Schizosaccharomyces pombe: one gene and its partner. The gene in region 1 interacts genetically with each later gene. Each region holds a gene or a part of one and is shown on either strand. Other genes may lie near its edges.

Region 1 (4,208 bases):
ATTAAGTCAATTACCATTTTTGTATATTAACGGCTGATTTAGCTAGTAAGCAATCGATAACAATGTCTGTAAAGAAGCCATACAAGCATCCTAATTGCACAAGTGTTATTCACATTAATAGAGTAGCTATTGTTATTGAACAAGAAAAAGGCAAAAAATCAAAGCAAAACTTAATTCCCAGCTGAAAGAGTCAAATATAATAGCCGTATGACTTTTGGTGTTTAAATGAAATTGCAGAATAAAGCCCGTTAGAATCATCGTATATATATATATATATACCTACTAAGAAAAGTGCATGAATGAGCATTTACCATGCATGCATGGAATTAGAATATACTATATTTGTTGTTAAAATAAAAAATAAAGAACTGTGTTATCAAAATCTTGAATGTTTGATTAAAATTTTGCAAAGACCCATTTTAGCAAATGCTATTTTGTGTGTTTACTTTTCACATAACTATTCTTTTTTTCCCTTTAAATGTTTTTATTCCATCATTTGTAATATAAAGACATATAAATCTACTGTTTCTATATCAACTTGACCTATTTTCCTTCTCAGTTTTGCAAATTTGCAACGTTGGTGAATTCAAAGAATTGAGTACGCGAAGATGATGGATTCATTGTGTTTACACTTCCCGGGACTATAAAAATACAGTAAGCATTTACATTTTAAAATTAACTCTAAAAGTACTCGTTTTTGGAGCTTTGAAATTGGACACGTTCTTCTTCTCTTCCCTCTTCATGAGAACACCTCCATTTCGCAATTAATCGAAAAGACAGTTTTTGAAAGATGTTGTTTCCTCTTGGGGTTTTAAAAGTTAACTAACAAGAGGTATCCAAAAGGATAGGACAAGCGTTACTGCAGAATTACTATTCCAGATTTAACCTGCGTATTATGTTTCAACATTAAAAAAAAAGTTCAGCAGAATTAAACAATCGAGTGTGACCTCGTTGTAAGTCTTTAGAAACGATCATCAAGCTTCTTTTCTTTAGACTATATTCACTAGTACATGGATTGACAATCTTGACACTGTACATGAAAATTTCTATCCCAAGCCGTAATTATATGGCTTTAATCGACAAGAATACTTCGTTAACCCCATCATCGGTGTTTCTTGTGTTTCAACCTTTAATGCATTGTTATAAAGTCTTTGATTGGAAAGTTATCACCAGTGTTGCGAACGATGTTAATATATTGTTCTTGTATTAAGCATTTTGCTGCTTCGACCATCGACACACCTCTTCCTTTACTAAATATAAACAACTTCCAGAGTATTTGCCTTCTCTCCATCCTTCATTTCAGCATGACTTTCTTCAAGTCAAGTCTTTGAGCACATATTTCCTTCAGCTCGTACACGTTCTTACAATTGTTTTGTTTGAATATATCCAACACCTCGTTTGCAACAACCGTCGACATGCATCTCCAATGGAAGACCGAAAAGTAAACAAAGCAACATTTTACTTGTTTACCTTTTGTTGCGTCATTATTTGCTCTTTTTAAAATAGCTTTGATACCTCGTTTACCACCGTGGATAAAATTTTGTCTGGCTTATGGATGACCGGAAACTAGTCGTCTCATCTCATTTTCAATGATTCAATTAACAGTTTCCTATAACATTGGATATGGATTTTTGATGGTGCCTTAATGTGTACATCTGACACATCAAGGAGGTACTAAAGTAATGTCCTTTCGGAAAATTTCGTTAGACCAGATATTGGCCTGTTACTCAAAATTTACACAAGTATTAGCGAGCTGAACGAATCCTGCTTTGTTAACTAATTATGTGTTAACGCATGAAACAATGCTGCGCCCATGTGCACGTGACGGTACTCTCCCTTCCCTTTGTTGATGAAGAGCCGAGGAACCCGCCCTCAGCTTTACAAACCTGCCTCCTCCCAACACCATCCCATAGCATACAAATAAGTGGGACTTTCAAGTTAAAACTTGTTCAAAGGTTTCTAACCAGTGTTTTTAATTTTAAATAGAAACACTTTCTTTTCATAAAAAGGTATGTTCTTTTTTATATTGTTTTCGTTAGTATATGGAAATTGGAGTAGTGAAAGAAAGAACGTGGATTCCTTTTGTGATTTGACGTTTCACTTGATATGCGGTTGCGTGGACATGACTAACATTGAAACCGCATGCTAGAGTGTCCCTTTTTTTCCTTGTTCCATTTTTTTCTCCTCTTGATTATTCCCTTACTAACTGAGGGTTGTCTTTTTAGTTATCGTACAATATGAAGGCTCTGATTCTCGTGGGTGGCTTTGGTACTCGTCTTCGTCCTTTGACTTTAACTTTGCCCAAGCCTCTTGTTGAATTTGGTAACAAGCCGATGATCCTTCACCAAGTCGAAGCTTTGGCAGCTGCTGGTGTCACGGATATCGTCTTGGCTGTTAATTACCGTCCCGAAATCATGGTAGAAGCTTTGAAAAAATACGAAAAGGAGTATAACGTTAATATTACTTTCTCCGTTGAGAATGAGCCTTTGGGAACCGCTGGACCTTTGGCTCTTGCTCGTGACATTCTTGCTAAAGACCACTCTCCTTTCTTCGTCTTGAATAGTGATGTTATTTGTGAGTATCCTTTCGCGGATTTGGCAGCTTTCCATAAGGCTCATGGTGCCGAGGGTACTATCGTTGTTACCAAGGTTGAGGAGCCTTCTAAGTATGGTGTTGTCGTTCATTATCCCAACTCAGAATCCTTGATTGAGCGCTTTGTTGAAAAGCCTGTTGAGTTTGTATCCAACAGAATTAATGGTGGTATTTACATTCTAAACCCTTCCGTTCTTGACCGTATTGAACCTCGTCCTACCTCGATTGAAAAGGAAGTCTTTCCCGCCATGGTCAATGACAAGCAATTACACTCTTTCGACCTTGAGGGTTATTGGATGGATGTTGGTCAACCCAAGGATTATCTTACCGGTACTTGTTTGTATTTATCCTCCTTGCGTAAGCATAAGCCTGAAATCTTGGCCCCAGCTAGTAGCAATATCATCGGTAATGTGTTGATTGATCCCTCAGCAACCATTGGCAAAAATTGTAAAATTGGTCCCAATGTTGTGATTGGTCCCAACGTAACGATTGGTGATGGTGTTCGTCTCCAACGTTGTGCCATTCTTAAGTCTTCTCGCGTTCGCGACCATGCCTGGGTTAAATCGAGTATTGTAGGATGGAACTCTACCCTTGGATCTTGGAGTCGTTTGGAAAACGTGTCCGTCTTAGGCGACGATGTCGTTGTCAATGACGAGATTTACGTAAATGGTGGCAGTATTTTACCCCATAAGAGCATTAGTGCTAACATTGAGGTTCCTGGTACTATTGTCATGTAAAAGAATTCTTAGATGCCGCACTATCACTCCTACTGTTCCATTGTCCACTCTTATTTTCTTTCTTTCTAGTCCTTTGTCTTTGCGTCTTTTTTTCTAATTCGCTAAAGTAATTTTAATCACTCTTCCTGATTTATCACTTTCTTTCTATCTCCTTCTTTCTTCGCCTTGTTCTTCTTTTACTGGCTTTGGAAGAACTCGTGCATTTTACTTGTGTTTATAGGTGCATCCCAGTTCTATATATGAGATATCAGTATGTTGTTTCATTCTCAACTTGGAATTGAATATTAAAAGCAAGTCAACTAATAAATTCACATTTGCCGCTATGTTATCAACGATCTATGTAAACCATTGCCTTTTCTTTGTCATGCTTCACTTTATTTATCCTGCTGTTTTGGTATTACTGTATCAAACAAAGATTTTTCTTTTGAAGGGATGGATAGATTTATTTAAGGCGTTGATCTACTATTTGTATATAGTGTTGACAGAAGTAGCTTCGTATACACATGCATAGTTTTCGAGCTGCAGTTATTTAACTTACTGTGGGTAATACTAATCTATGTTTCTTATCATTTTTTCAATTCAAACCCTTTAATCTGTAAAGTTCTTATATACTGGCTACCACACGTAACGCGTTTGTGAAAATGTATGTTTGCAACTACTTAAAATCGCCTTTGCATTCAATTAACCATGTTATTCAAAATGCACTAGATAATAGAAATAAATAGCATTATTCGCGATATATGGTACCACGTACAATTGATCATACAAAATTAAACCGTAATAAGTAAAGCTATGAAATGCGGTAAAACTTCAATAGTTCTTGAAAATAGTACAAGAAAATACACGTAAAAGAGAGTAGAAAATCAATTATCAAGTTTA
Region 2 (5,139 bases), on another chromosome or scaffold:
TCCGTTTATCCGAGCGATTTTATGAATAGTTTCAACAGCCTTATAATCATCACCCTTTGCCAAGTAAAACTTTGGAGACTCATAAACAGAAACAAGAAACCTAGCAGCAAACATCAACAAGGTCATTCCTCCCATCGTAAACAAAAAGTATCGCCAACCCTTATTGTCTGCACGATGACAGACAGATTCATCGTCGGGACATGAAAAGTTAGAAATAAGACCCCATGATACCAAATTAGCAATCACTTGTCCAATGGCCCACCAGAAGGACATGACTGTGAGGAGCCACTGGTGAGACGAAGGTAAGGCTTCTAAAAAGATTGCCGAATCAACAGGCAAGTTACCACCCACACCAAAACTCCATAAAGCATCAAAAACACAAATGGAAGCAAAGTTAGGAGAGGCGCCAGCAATAACAGCGAACACACCGGTAAACAGAAATGTAAGGTTGAAAGCCCATCGTCTCCCAATTGTGTCAGCAGAAAGCGACCAAACCATGGCGCCTACCAATAAACCCAAATTTTGAGACAACGTTAAATAAGGAGCACGACCTTCAGCAGGAGGGTGTGGTCCATCCACTTCGTCGAGTCTCATTAAAATTAAAGATGTGCAGACAGGCCATATATTGTCAGACATCCAACCAAAGCCTGCAACAAAAAATAAATACCATTGATATCTGCCAAACCCAATTTCGTTCATTGCATTACTCAGGATACGGGATTTTGCCAAATAAGTTTTGCTAAAGTCATTACTGTCGAATAAATCGTCATCAGATTTGCTGGGCTGTATAGTAGCATCAGCCAATTCTACTGGATATACGAGCTCGGTTTCAGAAACATCTTCCTGCTTTTTGGACTCCGTAGGAGACATATCATATAATCTTGGAGGTATAGAAGAACTCATTTTTATACTGTCCAATTTATAAACATAGACAATAACAAGAAGGAAAATTAGTTCTATAATTTATATGTAATTATCAACGCAGAAACATTAACCAGATGTTATGAATGACTTCTATGAACACTGTGAAATGGTCGAAAAGGAAGGAGAAATGAGGAATTGACGCAAACAAAGAGGAAAATAGACAGAAAAGAAAAAGAAATGTAAAGAATCTCAATAAAAATTCGATAAATCTTACACGAAATACAGGTGCAAATACCTTTCTACCTAAAGATCATTAAAGGGAGCTTTCAGTCAGTCGCTGTTTGATTTGTTTCGATTCAACAAAACAGCTTGAAAGATATGGTAAAAGGAAGGAAGCTGCAAACGTAAATTTGACCTTAGAATGGTGTACTACTTCCATATTCACAATGTGTGATAAGAATGAGCTAATAAGGGATACTAGCCTGCATATCAATATCGAGTGGCAGTAAGTAGTTGTGCGCTAACCATCTTAGCAAATTCGGTAAAAAGCAGTATTTAAAGTCAGAAAAAAATATTTTGCTATTAATGGATTTCATGAGAAAATAAAGATATTGGTTTATTTTTGAATTCATAATGTTTTCAGTACCTCGATAATATGATGGAGTTCCAATATCATAAACTACTGTTAGCACTTGTGGTATAGAAATAACGATGTTAACGTGTTATTGTAATATCACTTTATATTTAAGAAGATATCATTAATTACCCTTAATAAGAATGCAATTTCTGTAACAAACCGTGGCGATTGTAACAAATAGTAGGCATACTTCAGAGTCAGTAAATAAAGTACAAGCATTGCTGGTCAAAATAATAAGACATATTATTACTAAAATATACTCACTAGTTTATGTGGTACACCTGCGATTTTTTCTGACTTCAATGTCTAAACATCGGTGCACTACGTTAGCAATCTATAGGGATAATCAGTTTGGATTACCCTAAAAAGACTTTGCATTACTTAAAATTCATAGTTATTTAAACTCTTAAAAATTGTTGGTCTCTTCGCTACACTTCTGTATTAACATTGAATTACGCAGCGATTGATACATTATTATTGCTTTCCTCAGCCAACATTTAACACTCTTTATTTGGACTTGTATTTTGTTGAGAAATTAGAGTCGAAAAGGACATCTTTTCTTCTCTAGTGATCTTTTTGTTTTCTTTTGGTATCGATCAAGTTTTGGGCTCGTTAAATTGTGTGTGTCCTGAGAAAGCAAACTCGGACTATAGGTGCATTAGCTGAAGTAAAAGCTATATTTTTGTTTGCTTGTTGTACATTGTAAAATGTCCTATGAACAGCTTCATGCTCAGTCGGGTCAGCTTCGCCAGCGCTTTCCTTCGAAGCATAGTGAGATTGAGGATGAGGTAGCAAATGAGAAGGAAGAGTTAAAAGACGCTACCAAGAGTGCTTTGGGTGAAGTTAAAACCAATAAGAAATATTACATTCTTGGTTATTTTCTCGTCCCTTTACTCTTAACCGTTATCGCTGGTTTTGTTCGTGTTTGGAAAATTGCCGATAGTAATGTTGTTATTTGGGATGAAGCCCATTTCGGCAAGTTTGCCTCGTATTATTTGAAGCATGAGTTCTATTTTGACGTTCATCCACCTTTGGGTAAGATGCTTAACGCTGTTGCTGGCAAATTGGTTGGCTATGATGGTAGCTTCGATTTCAGTTCTGGTGCTACCTATCCTGAGGATTTAAATTACAAATTTATGAGACTTTGGAATGCTGCGTTTGGAACTCTATGCATTCCTTTGGTTTATTTTACTGCATTAAACTTTAATTATTCGTTTCTAGCTGCTACATTATGCACTTTGATGGTAGCGTTGGACAATCATTTGGCTACCATCAGCCGCTTCATTCTATTAGACAGTATGTTACTTTTTTTTATTATCAGCACATTTTTCTGCTTGTCTAGATATCATGTTTATCATAAGGCTCCCTTCACCTTTTATTGGTTTAAATGGCTCTTTTTGACTGGTGTTTGCATTGGCTGCGTTTGCAGTGTCAAGCTTGTTGGTCTCTTCATTACAGCGGTTGTGGGTCTTTATACTGTTGATGAGTTGTGGTGTTTATTGAACGATAAGCGAGTTACTTGGAAGGCGTATGCTGGCCACTGGATTGCTCGCGTCTGCCTGCTTATTTTCCTCCCTATCCTTATTTATGCCTTTACTTTTTGGATCCAATTCGCTGTTCTCTACAGATCAGGACCAGGTGATGCTCAGATGCCTTCTCTTTTCCAGGCTCGCCTTGAAGGATCTCCTTTGACCAAGAATCCTATTGACCTAATGTATGGCAGTAAATTCACATTGAAGAGCAGAAATCCAACTGGTGCACTTTTGCATTCTCACGTTCAAACGTATCCTGAAGGTAGTGAGCAACAGCAAGTTACTGGTTATCATCACAAAGACGGTAACAATGAGTGGATGTTTGTACCTACTCATGGTGTGGCCTATAACTATGAGGAGAACGATCCTATGAATCCTATTCTTAATGGAAGCGTAGTTCGTTTAATTCATCCTTTTACAAACCGTAATCTTCACACTCACAAAATCCCTGCCCCTCTGAACAAACGTATGTATGAAGTCTCTGGATATGGCTTGGGTGACGTCGGAGATGAAAAGGATTATTGGATTGTAAATATTTTGTATGATACTGCTCACAGAGATGCGTATAACGTACGCTCTCTTTCTACCGTCTTTCAGTTGTACAACCCGGTAGTCGGCTGCTATTTGAGTTCATCATCTTCTAGTTTACCTTCATGGGGTTTTGGGCAAATCGAAATGTATTGTGATCCCGACCCCGATCCATCAAATACTGACACTCAATGGAATGTTGAAGAGCATATTAATCCTCGTCTTCCTGAAGGAAGTATTAACGATTATCCTTCTTCCTTTTGGTCTGATTTTCTTCACCTGAATCGCGCCATGTTACGTGCTAACAATGGTCTTATTCCTGATGAAGATAAATTAGATGCCCTTCGCAGTGAAGCATATCAATGGCCCTTCCTTTTAGCAACCTTACGAATGTGCGGATGGGGCGATAACCAAATCAAATATTTGCTGGTAGGGAACCCCGTTGCTTACTGGTTTGCAACTTCTAGCTTAATTGTTTTTGCATTATTTGTTGTGGGAGCCGTTTTAGCTTGGCGTCGTCGTGTGCTAAGATGGTCTCAAGAAGCTTGTGATACTTTCCATTATGCCGGCATTTATCCATTTTTGGGCTGGTTCTTTAACTACCTACCCTACTATATTATGGGACGTGTTTTGTATGTTCATCACTACGAGCCTTCGTATGCCTTATCGACTTTCACTGCAGCCTTCGTTGTTGACTGGTTTACTAAAAAGATGCCTAAGATTGTCCGCGTAGTTGTGTTTATCTCACTTTATGCTATAATTGCCGGAGTCTTTATTTATTTCAAGGATGTAACCTTCGGCATGCATGGACCTGCATCCGACTTCCATCGCCTTCGTTGGCTTAACTCTTGGAATGTTCATGATTAATTTCAACTTATTTAAAATAATATATAACATTCAATTTCTCTGTCTTTTATCTTAATTGGTGCTTACTTTGAGTCGTAGCTTACTGCTGTTTCGTTAACAGTTGACTGTCTTTTTTTAATATTGATTTTTATTAATTTTTTGTCTTTCTTTCAGCATCATCGTTCACGCCAATTTAGTGCAGTAAAGCTCTTATATTATTGCTGGGCAAGTGGATAACAGCAATGCAGAAAAGCTGTTAATCAATTTTCCATATCCAATACTGTAATCTGTAAAAGCGTGGATTATCTATCTATCCAATATATGTACAGGTTTATCTCTAATGCTTACAGTAAATTAGATGAAATTATCAAACGAGTTAAAACTCAAATCACATTTATGATGTACTTTTCAAAACCAAAATTATCAAATTACTTTAATACAAATAATGGTGTAAAGACTTCTACTTAAACATACTGTAAATACCCTCCATAGTCCTAATTTGCATGAAAATTTAAATATGAACAATAAAACAGATGAAATACAATAATCCTGGCTCTAAAAATTGCATATCCATTTAACCTAAGCTACTAAAATAACGTTTAATAAGTAAACACATATGGATAAAAATATGTGGGAAACTTCTCTTACAGTAAACTTCATAAAGTAAAACAAGCCACTGCCTTTTAGTTTTCATTCAATCTCCTGCTGCTCCGTAAAGTCTTTGGGATGAAA

Evidence for each region.
Region 2: of mpg1 (region 1) and ogm2, extra expression of one rescues a mutant of the other (dosage rescue), as found in Schizosaccharomyces pombe (one study listed by BioGRID).

What each region holds. Positions count from the first base shown.
Region 1 is NC_003421.2:2,010,605-2,014,812, forward strand, and holds mpg1 (mannose-1-phosphate guanyltransferase Mpg1), read left to right. Parts: upstream 1-1,887; 5' UTR 1,888-2,009; intron 2,010-2,225; 5' UTR 2,226-2,237; coding exon 2,238-3,329; 3' UTR 3,330-3,396; downstream 3,397-4,208. Other genes in the region: SPOM_SPCC4F11.05 (uncharacterized protein), read left to right, coding at 43-185.
Region 2 is NC_003424.3:3,311,433-3,316,571, forward strand, and holds ogm2 (protein O-mannosyltransferase Ogm2), read left to right. Parts: upstream 1-1,989; 5' UTR 1,990-2,208; coding exon 2,209-4,428; 3' UTR 4,429-4,468; downstream 4,469-5,139. Other genes in the region: SPOM_SPAPB1E7.08C (transporter), read right to left, coding at 1-903.